Arabidopsis thaliana: one gene and its partners. The protein of the gene in region 3 interacts with the protein of the main gene of each other region in a pairwise test. Each region holds a gene or a part of one and is shown on either strand. Other genes may lie near its edges. The genes, in order: RACK1B_AT, RACK1C_AT and MKK5.

The links.
Region 1: the proteins of MKK5 (region 3) and RACK1B_AT come close enough for resonance energy transfer, tested with the Arabidopsis thaliana proteins (one study listed by BioGRID).
Region 2: the proteins of MKK5 (region 3) and RACK1C_AT come close enough for resonance energy transfer, tested with the Arabidopsis thaliana proteins (one study listed by BioGRID).

Annotation. Positions count from the first base shown.
Region 1 is NC_003070.9:17,980,281-17,985,763, forward strand, and holds RACK1B_AT (receptor for activated C kinase 1B), read right to left. Parts: upstream 3,098-5,483; 5' UTR 2,989-3,097; coding exon 2,110-2,988; intron 1,799-2,109; coding exon 1,697-1,798; 3' UTR 1,356-1,696; downstream 1-1,355. Other genes in the region: PEX3 (peroxin 3), read left to right, coding at 3,671-3,684, 3,865-4,026, 4,117-4,307, 4,381-4,511, 4,619-4,689, 4,794-4,830, 4,896-5,023, 5,111-5,326 and 1 more.
Region 2 is NC_003074.8:6,209,765-6,215,517, reverse strand, and holds RACK1C_AT (receptor for activated C kinase 1C), read left to right. Parts: upstream 1-2,966; 5' UTR 2,967-3,146; coding exon 3,147-4,025; intron 4,026-4,307; coding exon 4,308-4,409; 3' UTR 4,410-4,640; downstream 4,641-5,753. Other genes in the region: LST8-1 (Transducin/WD40 repeat-like superfamily protein), read left to right, coding at 951-1,058, 1,143-1,244, 1,332-1,444, 1,599-1,668, 1,843-1,920, 1,991-2,107, 2,207-2,289, 2,370-2,449 and 2 more; AT3G18120 (F-box associated ubiquitination effector family protein), read left to right, coding at 4,946-5,428. UniProt on the Arabidopsis thaliana protein: Minor component of the RACK1 regulatory proteins that play a role in multiple signal transduction pathways. Involved in multiple hormone responses and developmental processes.
Region 3 is NC_003074.8:7,442,943-7,449,656, reverse strand, and holds MKK5 (MAP kinase kinase 5), read right to left. Parts: upstream 4,054-6,714; 5' UTR 3,741-4,053; coding exon 2,694-3,740; 3' UTR 1,670-2,693; intron 1,618-1,669; downstream 1-1,617. Other genes in the region: 4CL5 (4-coumarate:CoA ligase 5), read left to right, coding at 531-726, 820-1,033, 1,113-1,215, 1,307-1,426; AT3G21215 (RNA-binding (RRM/RBD/RNP motifs) family protein), read left to right, coding at 4,426-4,596, 4,920-5,099, 5,179-5,254, 5,452-5,581, 5,698-5,812, 6,136-6,227, 6,344-6,413, 6,502-6,584 and 1 more. UniProt on the Arabidopsis thaliana protein: Mitogen-activated protein kinase kinase (MAPKK) which regulates abscisic acid (ABA) responses in a MAPKKK20-MKK5-MPK6 cascade involved in root growth (e.g. root cell division and elongation) and stomatal response, probably via MAPK6 activation by protein phosphorylation.

The DNA of each region.
Region 1 (5,483 bases), on a different chromosome or scaffold from region 3:
TCACATTATTTGTTTTGATTTTACTAGAGAGAGATTTGGACCGCTTTTGCCTTTGCCGTTTAGCTTTATTGATCGTCATCATTCATGTGTGATTTTATCTTGTGTTAGTGAAGAGAAGCTTGCAGTTTTATTTCAGTACAAGGACCACTACTATAAAAATGTAGTTGAAATATGGATTACAGCTAAGCTTGAGGCCGAAATGGTGTCGTGGAGCAAGTTCTTGAGAATAAATACGGGGCCAATTATACACACGAGTTTCTTCATTAACGAGGAAAAGAAAGTCGCCATCGGGTTTAATGACAATCGCAAAACAATCAACATCATTGGCGAGGCGGGGTACTTTAGAGAATTGGATCTTGGAGAACATGCAGAACCATATCGTAGGCGACATGTTTTCTCTTATGTTCCAAGTTCGGTCCAAATCAAGGAAACTGCACCAGGGAACATAAAAAAACATCAAAGCAGTATAGAAACACGTCTATTTGATCGAAACATGTTGAGACTTGTCGCATTTGAGAAGAAAGTATCCGAGTAACCAATATGAGGTAGATTAGCCTAATTTGTTAACAAAACAGAATATAATAAAGTCTATATTTCTTTTTCTCAAATTTGCAAAGCCTAAATTAGTGCAAAAGGTTGTATTATATCATCTAATGACGATAGAAATAGTTTTGCTGCGGTTTCTCTAAATCATGCAGAGCTAAACGATCTATAGTTTTAGTAGTTTGATGTTCCATTCTTGATCAACCTTAGCTTATTTGGACTACAAAAAAAAGCATGATATAAAATGGACATGTTGTCGAAGCCTACGGAGCCTAATTAAGATCTTGTTATATACGTGGACTTGGGTATTGGGTGTAGAATATCTAAAAGATAAGAAATATGAAAAATTTTACAGAGCAATTAAGCATTGCTTTGTTGAGCGGCTTATGATGCTGAAACATGTCATAGGGGGTCTTGGTTTCTTCGGAAAAGCAGTGAAAACAATCTTGATTGCACTTTTGATTATTGACTATTGACTCGTGCATGGTTTACCTCATTTGGTGTTTTTGAGCATGAAGAAGTTCTCAAGTTTCAACCTTTGGCTACACACAAAATTAATGCTAATAAGACCCATTTATCAGAGACTCTGTGCCGTATGGAGGTAAGCGTCTGGGTCAAGAACTATTCTATATGGGCTATATTCGGTTCATGTTAACTGAGAATTCGTATAACATATGGCCTTGTCGCCTACACTTTAGACTACTCTTAGTTTTGGTAGAGTAAGAGATGGAAAACCAAATATCATTAAGTACAAAAAGATAAACTGGTTGGTGCATTGGTGTTTAGAGATTCTTTTGAAAGGGTTCGTGTTGTAGTTAAGATGTAACCACTGGAAAAGTAAAGGCTAATAACTCCTTGAAGTTTTCAGATTCCTAAGAAAAAATTCTTGCTGTTATACAGTTAGTCATCAACCTAAAGCCATTTCTACTTTCTAGAGGATACAAGTAACAACTTCAAATCAGATTCTACGCCGTGTACTCAGACTCAGTGTAAGAAAACAAATATGAAACAAAATCAATGTATCAAAATATCACATTTGTGGATTCTGAAAATAGAAAAGAACAAAAAATAAATCCTCAAAACACTAATTCAGAAGAGAAGACTTTAGAGTCGATGGAAAAATTTGGAGAGAATAAAGAAACTTCTTGTCTCTCTAGTAACGACCAATACCCCAAACCCTGATAACTCCATCAGTGTATCCACTGAACAAAGTGTTTCCATCTGCACTCCAGTTCAAGCTTGTGCAGTAGATCACCTGCATTTTACATTCCACATTAGAACATATATAAACCACCTCAGACCAAAGAGTAACCAACAAATCAATATGGAATCACTTCAGACACTACAATCTAAGAAATCAGAGACTAGAGCTAACTTAAAACCAGGTTTCTCAATCTAATGTTAGCTACTCTCTTACGTACCAATCAAATCTTGTGAACTAACTTCACATGAGAGTATTCAGACCTTCCTTTATGAAAATCTCATCTTTTAAGGCAACGGCTAACTAATTCACAGAACTTAGAACTAGACAATTAACCATAAGATAGAGTGAGGAGAAATAGATACCTTGGTCTTGTTTCCGATTCCAGTAGAACCATCAGTCTTTTCAGCCTCAGCCTTAAGATCAACCTTCAAATCCTCAACAACAGACTTACTCTCGAGATCCCAAATCCTAATGCTATTCTCTGTTGCTGCACACAACCAGTACCTATTGGGACTGAAGCAAAGTGAATGAATAATAGAGCCAGCTTCAAGAGAATACAACTTCTTCCCTTCAGCCAAATCCCAAAGCAAGATCACACCATCTTTGCCACCACTGGCACACAACGAACCATCAGGTGACACAGCCACAGTGTTCAAGTAACCAGAGTGACCAGCAAGAGTGTTCCTAAGCTTACAATTCTGAAGATTCCAGACCTTCACAGTTTTATCCCAAGAAGCAGATACAATAGTTGGCACAAGAGTATTAGGACTAAACCTAACACAACTAACCCATTCCTTGTGACCATCAGCTTCAGAGATGGTATACTTACACTCACCAAGCGTGTTCCAAAGCTTAATCGTACGATCACGAGAAGCAGAGACGATCTGACGGTTATCGGTAGAGAAAGCAACAGAGAGAACATCTTTCGTGTGACCAACGAAACGACGAGTAGATTCTCCGGTAGCGAGATCCCAGAGACGAAGCTCACCGTCCCAAGATCCGGAGAGAGCGAATTGTCCATCGGAGGAGAGAACAACGTCTTGAACGAAGTGAGAGTGACCAGTCATCCTCCGCTGAGCAACACCGTATGACTTGTCTTCCTTTGTGAGTTTCCAGAGGATGATTGATTTGTCACGCGACGAAGTTACAATCACGTCGGAGTTATCGACCGGTGTAGCAATGGCGGTGACCATATCAGTGTGGGCACACATTGTGCCTTTCAACACGAGTCCTTCAGCCATGGTTCAGGGTTTGAGGTCGAGATTTAGGGTTTCGGCGACAAAAATGGGAGAGGGCAAAATGGAGGTAACGAGAAACCGAGAGTATTTATAGTTAGAGATAATTAGGGTTCTTTGTTTTCATTTGTCAATAGTTTGGGTCTCTTCATTTGGGCCAGCATTAAGGCCCGGTATTCTACCCAACTTGGTTTCATGTTGGGACAATTATGGAACCGAGATTTATATCTTTCTGTTTGGAACGCTTAACCAGAATTGGTATAGCTTGTTACAAGTCAATTTGATAACCACATGAGTACATGACATGACAACTTTTTTTTCTCTCTTTTGGGCAAACCCCATGAGAACTCTACCGAGAAGTTATTGTCAAAAATTGAAATAGACTCAAAAGTCGGTTCAATTAAAGTAAACAAACCGAGTTTGGCCATTTCAACTTTTATTGTAAGAACTAAGAACACAACTTCGACTGTCCCTGTGGAAGATATAATTTTACATGTCCGAATTCCGGAGAAGAAAAAGATGAAGTGATTGATTAAATTGAAATCGATCACATCAACCATCTCTTTCTCTCGCCTGCAAAGTTATCTCCTTTTCAAACCGAACGAATCAATTCGGGAATCTTCATCTTTCTACGTGTTTTCTCAGCTATGTATCTCTGGGTTCGACTTCAGTAAAAGCTTCACCAGCCATGGATTTCGTTAGGTTCTTGTTCGCTTCATCTTTCTTTGTAATTGCTTACTGTTTTCGTGAAAATTCGAAATTTAGTGTTTTGCGTTCTCTATCTCTCTCTCTCTAGCACACTAATTCCAATTCCTTAGGAAGGGTTTTTGGTGAATAAAGTTAGGGTTTTTAATTGATTCAATACCTTGTGGAATAAATTAGGGGTTTTTGGAGGAAGCATAGAAGGAAGGTCTTGGTGACGGCTGGTTGTTTGGGAAGTGGGTATTTACTCTACAAACTATACAATTCCCATACTCGTAGGCTTGCTGATTTGGAACGAGAACTCGCTCACGAGCGTGAAAATGACGAAATCATCAAAACCCAGTTAAGTTCTGTGCTCATAAAAACTGATCCTTTAGACTTCAGTTCTTATGGATTCTCTAACGGACCTGTCTTGTTTGTACTCTTGTTTAGAATGAAAGCACATTTCGAGAGTATTCAGATGATTGTGGATTCGACCACACTGCCTCACGCAATGCAGTTTTTGAGTATCCGTATCAGCGAGGAGATCGATGTCTCTCATGTTATGGACAGACTGAACCAAGGGAAAGGAATGCTGAGTCCACCTGAGAAACTTCAGCTCTGGGATGAGCTCAAGATTTTGAGTATGCACTGCAGTCACCTACTCTTACTCTATCAAATTCTGTTTCTTACCTGTATATTCATGTTATTTGCCAGGTTTCACGAGGATGGTTTTGTCTCTGTGGTCTGTGACAATGCTTAGCTTATACATTAGGGTTCAAGTCAACATTTTAGGCAGACATTTGTATGTTGACACCGCTCGAGCTCTTGGCAGCTCTCATTTACTTGTAAGATAATATGCTTCCCCTCTTCTCTGTATTGGAGAATTTGCTGTTTATTAAACGATACTGCACATGTTCTTTACTGCTCTCATTTGCTCGCAAGTATGATTCAGTGTACTTTGCTTATCTCATCCCCAACAAGCTATTTCTCGGGGAAACTCACTGGTTGTTCTGTTAAGAACTTGTATAATTATGTCTCTAGTAGCTGTGTTTAATTGCGATAACGATTATGCATTTGACCTATCTGTGGACTAATACTCTGGAATCACCTATCTTTCTTTGATATAGTTCCAGATTACCTTTTAAAGCCACGGCCGCTTGTCCTGTGATCTGCTTGCCCTGTGAGCTTTCAACAGTGTATCTATTAAATTTGTTTCTTTTTGTTTGCAGGAAGAGGTAGATCTCATTGATAGAGATGATGAACAGAAGTTTTTGTCGAGTGCTGATTTTCTTGTCACCAATGCAATGCCAAGTTTGATTTCAGATATGCAGGGTTCAGCCGAGGAAGTCCTTAAAGGGTACATTGCAAAAATTCGTATCTAGATCGTTTATAATTTGACTATTGTTGGAAAAACTCTAATATGTTTTTGTGTGTTTAATTGCAGAAAGCAGTTAAAGGATGTAATTACCACAAGAGTTCTTCAAGAAACCGTGATGCAGATTGTAGATGTGTTTATGAGCACTGGAAGCCCACATCACTGGGTTGATTATTTAATGATGCCTCAAGACACAAAGCTTTCAAGAACCACAAGTGACTCTTCTGATGAAGCTGTGTCCAAGTTTCATCAACTCATGGTTGAGACTCGAGAAGTACTCATCAGGTAAGTAATGTCTATCTGCTAAGATAAACACACAATTTTTCCTCTTTCTTACACTCTTGGATGATTGTGGGGAATAAACTTATCTCTTGGTGTCTTTCTTGTTGCAGCACTGAATTCACAAATATAGTCGAAATTTCGCTCAAGTGCTTCACGGATG
Region 2 (5,753 bases), 1.2 Mb from region 3:
CTCTGATAATTTCTCACAAATGAGACTACATGCTTATATAGAAAAGAAATGTATCTGCACCCATTAAACCCATGGACTCATTATGTCCTACAAACATAAAAATAAAAACCCCCAAATTTATTGTAAAACCAAAACTGACAAATGTGTCTTAACACACATTAACTCCCCTCTTTACTCTTGTTTGAATCACATTTCAACATTCACACACATTTTCAGCTCATCCAAACTAAAAGAAACAATAACCAAAACGATGATTAAGGCACGAATCAAGAGCCTACAAGTAATCTGAAAAAATCATATATATACATAACATTTGAATCGAAAGCCAATTCGAATCTAAAGTTCTGGGAAAAAATCAAGCTGTGAAAATACGGAAATGGGGAAATCGGCGAGCGTTACCAGATGCGGTGCCTGTAGAGGTGACTGAAGAAATGGAACACTTGACGACGGAGAGCCTAACTCCTCCGCGACGGTTCAATGACGGCTGGATGAAGAAGCCCGTCGGCAAAACAAATTCCAGAGCTTTCGTAGCCGCCATTGTTGCCGTCTCTAAAAGCTTCCAAGGAGTCTCAGCCGTTATGTCTGTCAGTGAAGTAGTGAACAAATAGTTGTTCTTTATATTTTCTTATTACTTTTCATAAATAACAAAATAGCCCTTTACTTATTTTCGTATATTTAAATAAACCCCAATAGATATATATTTATACTAAAACCTCCCCGCGTTAATTAATTATGAGAAAAGCTTGGTAAAAACCCTATTTTTCTTCTTCTCTTCAATTTACAGTTCTCTGCACCTTTTTCTTTCCCCTGTTTTTTGATCCTCAATCACCAAACCCTAGCTTGTTCTTCTGTTGATTATTTCGAAAAGGGGGTTTGTTTGTTTTCTGGGAATCAGCAAAAATCACGAAATGGTTGGTTTAATATTTCAATCGGGATAAAATCGATCGAAAATGAGTCAGCCTTCTGTGATTCTTGCTACGGCTAGCTATGATCACACCATCCGATTCTGGGAAGCCGAAACTGGTCGCTGTTACCGTACCATTCAGTATCCTGATTCGGTTTGTTTCTCTCTCTCTCTCCCTTGATTTTGTGAATTCTGAGTAATTAATAAAACTGAGACAAATTAATGTTTGTAATTGCAGCATGTAAATAGGCTTGAGATAACCCCAGATAAGCATTATCTAGCTGCAGCTTGCAATCCTCATATTCGACTCTTTGATGTCAATTCCAATAGTCCTCAACCTGTAAAACTCCTCTCTTTTTTTCTCAATGTGGTGTTTGCTTCCTTCTACCTGCTTGAGTGATCTTGATGGAGTCGTCGTGTGTATTAGGTGATGACTTACGATTCACACACCAACAATGTTATGGCAGTAGGATTTCAATGTGATGCAAAATGGATGTATTCAGGATCAGAAGATGGCACAGTTAAGATCTGGGACTTAAGGTATATCATGTCATCTTCATCTTTAGCTAAAAGTTTATAGATTTATTCAAGTGTGGATTCTGGGAAAGGATAAGGAGATATTGAATATAAAGTTACGAAAAATACTAAGAACGTTCTAAATTGTATTCTTGTTGACTCGTAAACCAAAATGCAGGGCTCCGGGTTGCCAAAAGGAGTATGAAAGTGTTGCAGCGGTTAATACAGTTGTTTTACACCCAAATCAGGTACATGAAGTCATCTGTTATTGTTGTGCTGTGGGAATCAGCTTCGTTTTATGTTTAAGAGAGTTGTTGTATTGCTACTGTTGAAACTGCTGTGATTTTGGTAGTTGTCTCAGCTGTTATTATGAACTATTTCCTTAGTCTTTATTATGAACTTTGTTTTTTTTTTTTGTACAGACTGAATTGATATCTGGAGACCAAAATGGAAATATACGTGTATGGGATCTCAGAGCAAATTCGTGTAGCTGTGAACTGGTAATTGCCTTTGACACGTCTTCATTTCATTTCTGAAAATCCGTAGATAATCACTTGAGGTTAACTATAGGTACCAGAAGTTGATACAGCTGTACGGTCTTTAACTGTTATGTGGGATGGGACAATGGTAGTCGCTGCTAACAACCGTGGAACATGTTATGTATGGCGCTTGTTGCGTGGAAAACAGGTAGTGTTCCTGATATGCAAACCTTTCTTTTGTTTAACCATGTTGTAGTCGCATTACTCTAATTGTCCATGCCATTTAAAAATTCAAAATCTTTTACAGACAATGACAGAGTTTGAGCCCCTTCATAAGCTGCAAGCTCATAATGGCCACATCCTTAAATGTCTCCTCTCTCCTGCAAACAAGTAACATGTTTCTTATACTTTCTCTTTTAACCGTTTTCTTCATCCTCTCCTTTTCGAAGCTCTTACATATTTGTTAGCAGATATCTAGCGACTGCATCATCTGATAAAACTGTCAAAATATGGAACGTCGATGGTTTTAAACTAGAGAAAGTTTTAACAGGTATGTTCTCCATGTTACTGTCAACAGCATTCATTCTCCATTATCGTCTCTTACACTATCATCAAATCTTATATAACAGGACATCAAAGATGGGTTTGGGACTGCGTCTTCTCAGTGGATGGAGAATTTCTTGTAACAGGTACTAATCTCTGTCTTAACTTAAACCACTGAAAAACATATCAGAACAATCTTTAAACGGGTTTCTATGATGTTGTACAGCATCATCGGACATGACGGCTAGATTGTGGTCGATGCCAGCAGGCAAAGAAGTGAAAGTGTACCAAGGTCATCACAAAGCCACTGTGTGCTGTGCACTTCACGATTAAAACCTTAATAAGAATCAAAGCTAAATTATGAACAAACTACGATTGTGTTATTTGTGTTTTAGTAAACTCTTGTACATTTCAATCGAATTCGTTCAAATTGCTCTTATGTTCCCTCTCTGATCAAACATTTCTCAACTATATCACAACAAAAATGCTCCAACAAAATTTATTTCAGAAGAGGCCCATTTATACCTGACTCGGAAACTCCGGCCCAAATGAGCCAGTCTCCTCGCAGAAACCACACTAAACCCTAATTTGATTCATTTTTAGACCTAGAGTATAAATACCAAACATTTCAATCGACCTCGTAATCTCTCGCTCTGTTACGCCATTTTCGTGAGTAAGAAGAAGAAACCCGAAAACCTCAAACCATGGCCGAGGGACTCGTATTGAAGGGCATTATGCGCGCCCACACCGACATTGTCACGGCCATCGCTACGCCGATCGACAATTCCGACATCATCGTCACAGCGTCGCGTGACAAATCCATCATCCTCTGGAAACTCACAAAGGACGATAAGTCTTACGGTGTTGCTCAGCGTAGGCTCACAGGTCACTCTCACTTCGTGGAAGATGTTGTTCTCTCATCGGACGGTCAGTTTGCACTCTCCGGAAGCTGGGACGGTGAGCTCCGTCTCTGGGATCTTGCCACGGGAGAAACAACTCGTCGATTCGTTGGTCATACGAAAGATGTGCTCTCTGTTGCATTCTCTACTGATAACCGGCAGATCGTGTCTGCTTCTCGTGATCGTACGATTAAGCTTTGGAACACACTTGGTGAGTGTAAGTATACCATCTCTGAAGGTGATGGTCACAAGGAATGGGTTAGTTGTGTTAGGTTTAGTCCTAATACTCTTGTACCAACTATTGTATCTGCTTCTTGGGATAAAACTGTGAAAGTTTGGAATCTCCAGAACTGTAAGCTGAGGAACTCTCTTGTTGGTCACTCTGGTTACCTCAACACTGTTGCTGTCTCGCCTGATGGTTCGCTATGCGCCAGTGGTGGGAAAGATGGTGTTATCTTGTTGTGGGATTTGGCTGAAGGAAAGAAGCTTTACTCGCTTGAGGCGGGTTCGATTATTCACTCGCTTTGCTTCAGTCCTAACAGATACTGGTTGTGTGCTGCTACTGAGAATAGCATTAGGATTTGGGATCTTGAGAGCAAGTCTGTTGTTGAGGACTTGAAGGTTGATCTCAAGTCTGAGGCAGAGAAGAATGAAGGTGGTGTTGGAACTGGTAACCAGAAGAAGGTACGTCATTATCTTATGATTTCACTATAGTAATTGGTTCTCTATTGATAGGTTAGTGAATGCACCAAAAGTAGTGATGAAATTATCTTTGGTTATGACAAAAAAAAAGTGAAATTTTGGTTAGAAATTGCATGTAGGAAATCTTTTCCCTTACCCATTAGCTTTGAAACTAGGAATTTTATTCTTTAAATGTTGCTCTGCTCCAAAGGTTTTGACTTTGATGTTAACATATAGGAAGAGATTGATAATGGTATCTAATGGGAATGTGTAATGAAAATGCAGGTTATCTACTGCACAAGCTTGAACTGGAGTGCAGATGGAAGCACATTGTTCAGTGGTTACACTGATGGAGTTGTCAGGGTCTGGGGTATTGGTCGTTACTAGAGACACAACAAGATGAAGAAGAAGTCACGAAATCTCCGGAAAAAAGTTTAGCTGCTTTTAATTTTTCCAGACTGCGTCAGTATTGTATTAGTCTCTCGCAAACCTCTATTTTGGCAATTTTTGTTTAATTTCCAGAAGAGAAAAAAACAATCCATTGATTATCATATCACTATATATCAAAAGGTCACGATTTTGATTACACTTACCTTCGTGATCTTCCGATTGGTCTTATTGAGGTTCAATCTTCACAATTCATCCCTATAATATATCACTCTTATCTCTTTCACCGGCCACATTACAAGCCTATTAGATTTCTAAAGCCCATGATTGGCCCAATTCAGTTAGGGTGGGTTTCTTTGTCTTCAAATTTGTAACCACCGGAAGCAGAGGAGAGTATCTTCTGAAGCATTAACCTAACTTATTTATGATCCTTGAGATGATGATGGCCAATCTTCCAAGGGATTTAGTGAACCTTGTTACGGATACGTACAGTATGAACTCTACTACCTCAAGTCCTCAACTCCTCTAAACCACGGATGAATATTACTATCCCTAACATTAACTCTGCGAACTGGGAGATACAGTTTTCTGCACGTGGCGTGTCTCTCAAGGGAAATACTCAACAAAAGCATCTCCCTGAGTTCTTACTCTGTTATGATTTTACAAGAGAGATATTTGGACCCCCTCTAAGTCTACCGTTTCACTCTTTTAATGAAGATACTGTGACTCTATCTAGTGTTAGAGATGAGCAACTTACAGTGTTATTTGAGAGAGATGATACATTACAGATGGAGATATGGATTACGACTAAGATTGAGCCCGAAACAGCGTCGTGGAGCAAGTTGTTCTTAGCGGTGGGTATGGAACCACTAACTGGTTTGCAGTTTCAGGTTGCCGCTGGGAATTTCTTTGTTGACGAGGAGAAGAAAGTTGTCGTGTTTTTGGATAAAGACACAGAGACGCGGGAGCGCTACATAGCCTTTATCACCCACGTATCTGTTCTTATGTTCCAAGTCTAGCGCAAATCAAATGGCCACAACTTTAAGCTGAGGAACTCTCTCAACATTGTCGCTGCTTTTAGTTTATCCAATTTTTCCAAACTGGCTCTCATGTAAATCTTGTATTTTGTCAAATTTTGTTTAATTATCATCATACACTCTATCAAAAGGTCACGGATTTTGGTTGCATTTTATATTCTTCATCTTTAAAATTGGTCTTATAACGCAACTTTCGTCTCGCTTCATAAAATCCTTGTCACAGTTAAAAACAGCAAGGTGTTTGTTGGTAAAAATCTTAGACGGCAAGGAGTTTGTTTCTCACTTTCTCAGGAACCTTAAAAGATCA
Region 3 (6,714 bases):
TCCACTTTGTCTTTAAGGTTGGTTTTGCCGTGTTGTTTTTATCTTTATATAATGATCTATTTTTTGGATTATGAAATGAATTCACACATTTTAATTATTTAAGAAGATCCATATACAGGTTTATAACAGTACTAAGTGATGATTATTTTTTGTTTTTGCATAGTTTAGTTTATTGGGTAAACATTCATTACGTGTCTCTTTATACGAATCACCCATCCAAAATTTCAAGTAGTCTTTTAGTTCATTTATTATTTCATAACTATTTGACTTATTGATTTGACAAGAAACAACAAAAGTGTTGACTTATTGATAGATTGTGGGATCATAAAAGTAATTAAGCGTCAACCACGACCCACAACAACAAAGCACATGTTATACATTAATATCTCGTTTACTTAATTACAGTTTTCAGAATGCCGTTTCATGTCTTCGTCACTGGCGATGTTATTATCATGTTGGACAATATTCGACTGTTGTCGTTTTTACATTTTCGTATTGACTAAAACTAAAAAAACAAAACTCTGTTTCAGGGTTATGGAATGACCGAGTCCGGAACGGTAGCTAAGTCATTAGCGTTTGCAAAGAACCCATTTAAAACCAAGTCCGGTGCATGTGGGACTGTGATCAGAAACGCCGAGATGAAAGTGGTCGATACCGAAACCGGAATCTCCTTGCCGCGCAACAAATCTGGCGAGATCTGCGTCCGAGGTCATCAGCTCATGAAAGGTAAAAAGGGTCAAACGATCAAGCTATGTCCCTTCTTTTTTTTCCTTTGGGAGAATAAACATTGATAGGGAAAACATGGTGCAATGTTGTTAGGTTATTTGAATGATCCGGAAGCTACTGCACGAACCATAGACAAAGACGGGTGGTTACATACAGGAGATATTGGGTTTGTGGATGATGATGATGAGATCTTCATTGTTGATCGGTTGAAGGAACTGATCAAATTCAAAGGCTACCAAGTGGCTCCAGCTGAGCTTGAAGCATTGCTTATTTCTCATCCTTCTATCGATGATGCCGCAGTTGTTGCGTGAGTTCAAAACAAATCTGAAACTTCCAAACTGAGACACTAAAATGGTTGTTGTCTCTAATGATATTTGAATTTTCAGAATGAAGGATGAAGTAGCTGATGAGGTTCCAGTAGCATTTGTAGCAAGATCTCAAGGGTCTCAGTTAACTGAAGATGATGTCAAGAGTTACGTAAACAAACAGGTACGAATTCGCTTTCGGTTTTTCAATGCGAAACACACACAAGATGGAAAACTGTCTATGTCTTAAATCAATGGTGTGATGGTTTATATAGGTGGTTCACTACAAGCGGATTAAGATGGTGTTTTTCATAGAAGTTATACCAAAAGCAGTTTCGGGCAAGATTCTGAGGAAGGATCTGCGAGCTAAATTGGAAACCATGTGCTCTAAATAGACACAAGAGAGTTTCAAATGTATGTGTAAATTCGAACATTATAGTCTCTAAGAAGTAAGGAGTAAGAAGCAAGTATTTGGTATTTGATTTGGTTTTCACGAGATCAATCATGTAAAGTCAACAAATCTAGGAAACCTAAAGCTAAGCTACCCTCAGAAACATAAATTCATTTCCTATAATCATCATTTCACTATTTTCTTAAGAAGAATTATAAATTTAGAGAATTAAGGAACAGAAACATACCCACAAAAGCGACAATGAGAAGTGATTACGCTGGGTAGACTTATGTACTGGGACACACACTCAAAGTTATCCTCCTCTGCAAGCTGAATGCTTCAAGTATTCAGGTGAATCAATCAGCACAAACTTCAGCAAACCTGCAGAGAAAGACGTGGCCCAGCCGCCCAGCGGAAAGGTCTAATGTGGTTAGAAGTCAAGACCAATAGGACACTTGAGAGCTAGATTCCTAGCCATAAGGTAGACTTTTTTGAGTAGATGCTGAAGAACCTAGAATCTGACCTGGACAGTTGAGAGTTACATTCCTAATCACACTAAAACATCAAGGCAATTTGACGGATACTGAACACAAAACCATTGGGAGAGAGAGAGAGAGAGAGAGAGAGAGAACGAGAAGCAGAAACAAGGTGAATAGCTGATGTTTACATGCATGATGCATGCTCAAAGATGGAACCAAATGAAAGCTTTCTGAATTTGACCAATTGCAAGAGCATCACATGATTTCGTTCAAACAAAAGTTCCTAAACAAGCTTTCAACTTTTACCGCAATAATTAGACCATAACTGGCAAAGAAAAAATAACGCAGTAGGCACTAGGGTAGCCTTTGTAATGTTCACAAGACGGAAACTAGAAAACCATAAAGAGAATTAAAGGAAGAAGCTTTATTAATGAGAATTATCCAATGAAAGATCCTCCATTTACTTCCTTATATAAACAATAATATAAGCAAATCCAGCTAAAATCACTCTTAAACCATAAGAATTCTTCTTGTCTATTTTTTTGTTTCCATTTCTAGCAAAACATTCTTCATTACCCATAAGACAAATCAAGCTTAGCAGCATAAGATAAAGACTCAATAAACCCTAACCACAAACTGAGTTTCTTCCTGACGACTCATACCCCAATCACAAACCACATTGTTCTTCTACTCTTCTCATTATCTTTGCTTGGGGTATGCAAAACTTATGGAAAAATGTCAGGAAAAACTACGAAAAATTGAAAAACAAGAAAGACGAAAATGGTAGAAACACTAAGAGGCAGAAGGAAGAGGACGAGGCGGCGGCAACATTTGACGGAGATTAGGACCACCGGTAGCTTTAAGTATGAAAGGATGCTGCAAAAGCTGTTGAGCTGACCATCTCTTAGGAGGATCACTCTGTAAACAACAAGAAACAAAGTGACGAAACTCCTGAGACGCCGTAGCCGGAGCTTCAGGTGGCTGAGACATACAAATAGCACACATAAGACTAGCCCAATCACCTTGTCTACTCACAGCAAAAGGAAACCTCCCCAAGTAAAACTCCAAGATACTAACACCTAAACTCCAAACATCTCCAGCATAACCATCGTAACGACCATGATTCAAATCAGTATTAATCCTCTCAGGACTCATATAAGCAATAGTACCAACAGATGAATTACAAGGATCCATTGTTTGTGCCAAGATCCTACTCACACCAAAATCAGCAATTTTCACATTTTTAGCTGAGTTTATAAGAAGATTCGAAGGTTTGATATCACGATGAACGATATGACGACGATGAAGATAAGCTAATCCACTAAGAATCTGACGAGAGAGATCAGCTAATTCCTGTTCTTGCCATATATGAGCTCCTTCAAGAGATCCTTGATCCATAAACTCAAGCAAAACCTGGATCTCACCGTTATGATCAAACATATCGTGACATTTCACAACGTTTGGATGATCAACACTTCTTAAGATCTCGATCTCTCTACAGATCTGACGTCTCACGGTATCTTCGTGGTTTCCGTAAATCACTTTGAGAGCGAAAGGACGTGACGTCGGAGTGTGGATTACTTTGTAAACCGTTCCTCCGGCTCCGCTTCCGATTCGGTTCACTCGTTCTAGCTCGGATAAGCTTTTAGCGGCGGAGATGTTGGTTGAGATCGCGGAGGAAGACGCCGGAGCGGATGAAGAGGAAGAAGGAGGTGGGAGAGGGAGAGGTACGGCGAGAGCGACGTCGCGGTGTGGGAGTGGTAAGCTTAGGTCAGGACGTTTGCGTAAACGGTTCTTCATAGGTGAAGCTACTCCAGAAGGAGATTGAATCGGTTTCATGGCTTTTAGAAGAAGAGGGAATCAAAAGTTTTTTTTTTTTTTCACAAGGTTGATTCTTTATCTTCCAGGTTTGTATTTATCATCATGATTGACTTGACTCTAGGGTTTGTTTGATTCGTCGTTTTTCAAAGAGATCAAATCAAGAGGAGAATGAAGCTTCATCGAAGAGATTTGTGAAAATGATTGTAAGAAACAAGAAAAAAAAAAAAAGTTAAAATGGTAAGACGAAGGTACGCGTTGATGGAAAGAGCGTGGAATACACTCGCACTTGTGTGGCTCTGTGTTGTTACACGTTAACCATGTTTTTTGTTTGGTCGGGTCTGAATTGGATTATAATATCATTAAGAGTGTTTAAGATCGTGGATTTAGATACTATAAATTTGGTGTTAGGTATTTAATATTTTTAGAAAGTAAGAAAATACAGATTAAAGTTTCTTTCCAATAAAAACAATTGAAAAAAGAAAAACTTAAAGTAATTATAATTCTAAAAAAATTAAAAACTAATTTTCTTTTTAAAGTTTTTAACAGAAAAAGAAAGAAATAAAATTAAAGTGGTACAGTGTTCACGTGCGATGCATGTGACTTAAAAAATAAGTTTGCCTTCTTTGCCGTCAATTCTTCCGCAGAAGTTTTTTCGAACAATCAATCTCTGACTCTCTGAGTAATTAGGTTTTTTTTTTATCTCATGGCCGGCGCCGGAATCCACCCATACCACCAGCAGTGGCCGCCGGCAGGTGCGCCGCCTCCTCCAGCCGCAGTATCATCAGCTGCTCCACCACATCCGCCGCCCATTCATCACCATCCTCCTCCTCCTCCTGTTTTAGTTGACAACCATAATCGTCCTCCTTATGACGAGGTTCAACTCTTTCTCTTTCTCTCTATACATATCGGTGATTCTTGTGCTGTGTTGTCGAGATGGGCTTGCTTGATTTTTGTTTACGTTGAGGTTTTAATTTGCCTGCTTTTTGATATACAATGTTAGCTTGATTTTGCTACGGAATCGATAAATTGTCCAAAGTTATGACCTTTTTGATAAGAATGATTTTTAAGTTTGTTACTAAAATCTCACTTATGACCTGTTGCATAAGTGAGAAAGGTTCTCTTATCTTGTCATGTAGTTGGAGTTTTCTGATTTTGGGAAAACGTGATCTCTTACACAAGTTTGAATCTGTTGTTCAGCTGCGGACAATCTTCATCGCAGGGCTTCCCGATGATGTAAAAGAGAGAGAGCTTTTGAATCTCTTGAGATGGTTGCCTGGTTACGAGGCTTCTCAGGTGAACTTCAAGGGAGAAAAGCCCATGGGGTTTGCTCTTTTCTCCACAGCTCAGTTTGCAATGGCAGCCAAAGATACCCTTCAGGTCTGTCTGCTTCTGATCATTGTTGACTCAGATCCTTTTTTGTCTTCACATTATGACATATGTTGTTCTTGGCATGCAGCATATGGTGTTTGATGCTGAGTCAAAGTCTGTGATACATACAGAGATGGCCAAGAAGAATCTTTTTGTTAAAAGAGGTTAGCTCTACCTTTATGACATAAAATGGCTGTATTTTATCTATCTTAAGCATTAGTCATGTTACTGAAGCATGTTTGATACAGTTTTGTGCATTTATACGGGGTCTCACTACACTCTCCCCTTTATCTAGTTTCTTACTTCCTTTGTTAATATCACAAACCATATATAACCTTTGAACTCAATCTTTATTCTGTAGGTATTGTTGGGGATTCAAATGCTTATGATCAAAGTAAGCGCCTACGAACTGGTGGTGACTGCACACACTCTGTGTATAGTCCATCTCCTTTCCATCCTCCACCTCCTCCTGTGTGGGGACCTCCTCATGGGTTAGGCATTTGCTTCTCCTTCATATTTCATATGCTGTGTAGAAATTGGACGATGTGTATTTGGTACACCGTTTTATGTTAAGTTGCTTATTTGACAAGAAGATAAATTGGTTCAGATATATGGCACCTGCACCTCCACCATATGATCCCTATGCAGGTTATCATGCTCCCCCTGTACCAATGCCTACGCCCCCACCTATAGCAGCTCCTAGTTCTTATGTGCCTGTCCAGGTGAAGTTGCACTGTTTTCATCATTTTATTTATCATATGGTGGTTGTGCAATTATATACCCGGAATCCATATTGTACTTGCCTCTCCTTGCCTAAAAATTACAATCTCGAACTTCATTCTAATTAGCTTACATGCTATACTCTCTGGTGGTTGTGTTGTGGAACAATAGTTGTTGCCTAATTTAAATGCATTGTCTACTGCTCTGAATTTGCTAAAGTTTCTGATTGTTTGATAAATTTTGTACCTAGTTTGATGAATATCTAGCCTAGGTTTGGTGATCTGATATATGTCTCATGTTGTTTTCAAATTTTTTTCAATTGCAGAATATTAAGGATAATCCACCTTGCAATACCCTATTTATTGGTAATCTTGGGGAGAATATAAACGAAGAAGAATTGAGGAGCCTGTTGAGTGCGTGAGTATCTGTTCCCTTTAGTGAGACTCCTGTCCATTGCTTTCCTTGAGATCTTGGCCTTTTTGTAGACCTGTGTTCTCAAGAATTCTGCGGTAAACTGTACTTTCATTTTGCAGGCAACCTGGTTTCAAACAAATGAAGATTCTGAGACAAGAAAGGCATACAGTTTGCTTTATTGAATTCGAGGTTAACTCTGAGACCTTCACCATCTGTGTATATGTGACAGAAAATATTCTTCTAGCATATTGTTAAATTCTTCTATCTGGACTTGCAGGATGTCAATAGTGCCACAAATGTTCACCATAATTTGCAAGGTGCTGTCATTCCAAGTTCTGGTTCAATTGGCATGAGGATCCAATATCCTTATATACTTTTACTCTTTCTGATTATTTAATATTCCAGTATGCCAAGTTCTTTTTTCTTTTCTGTTTGATTCTTCTTAACCCAATGATACATATTCAAAGAATCCATATGGGAAGAGAAAGGA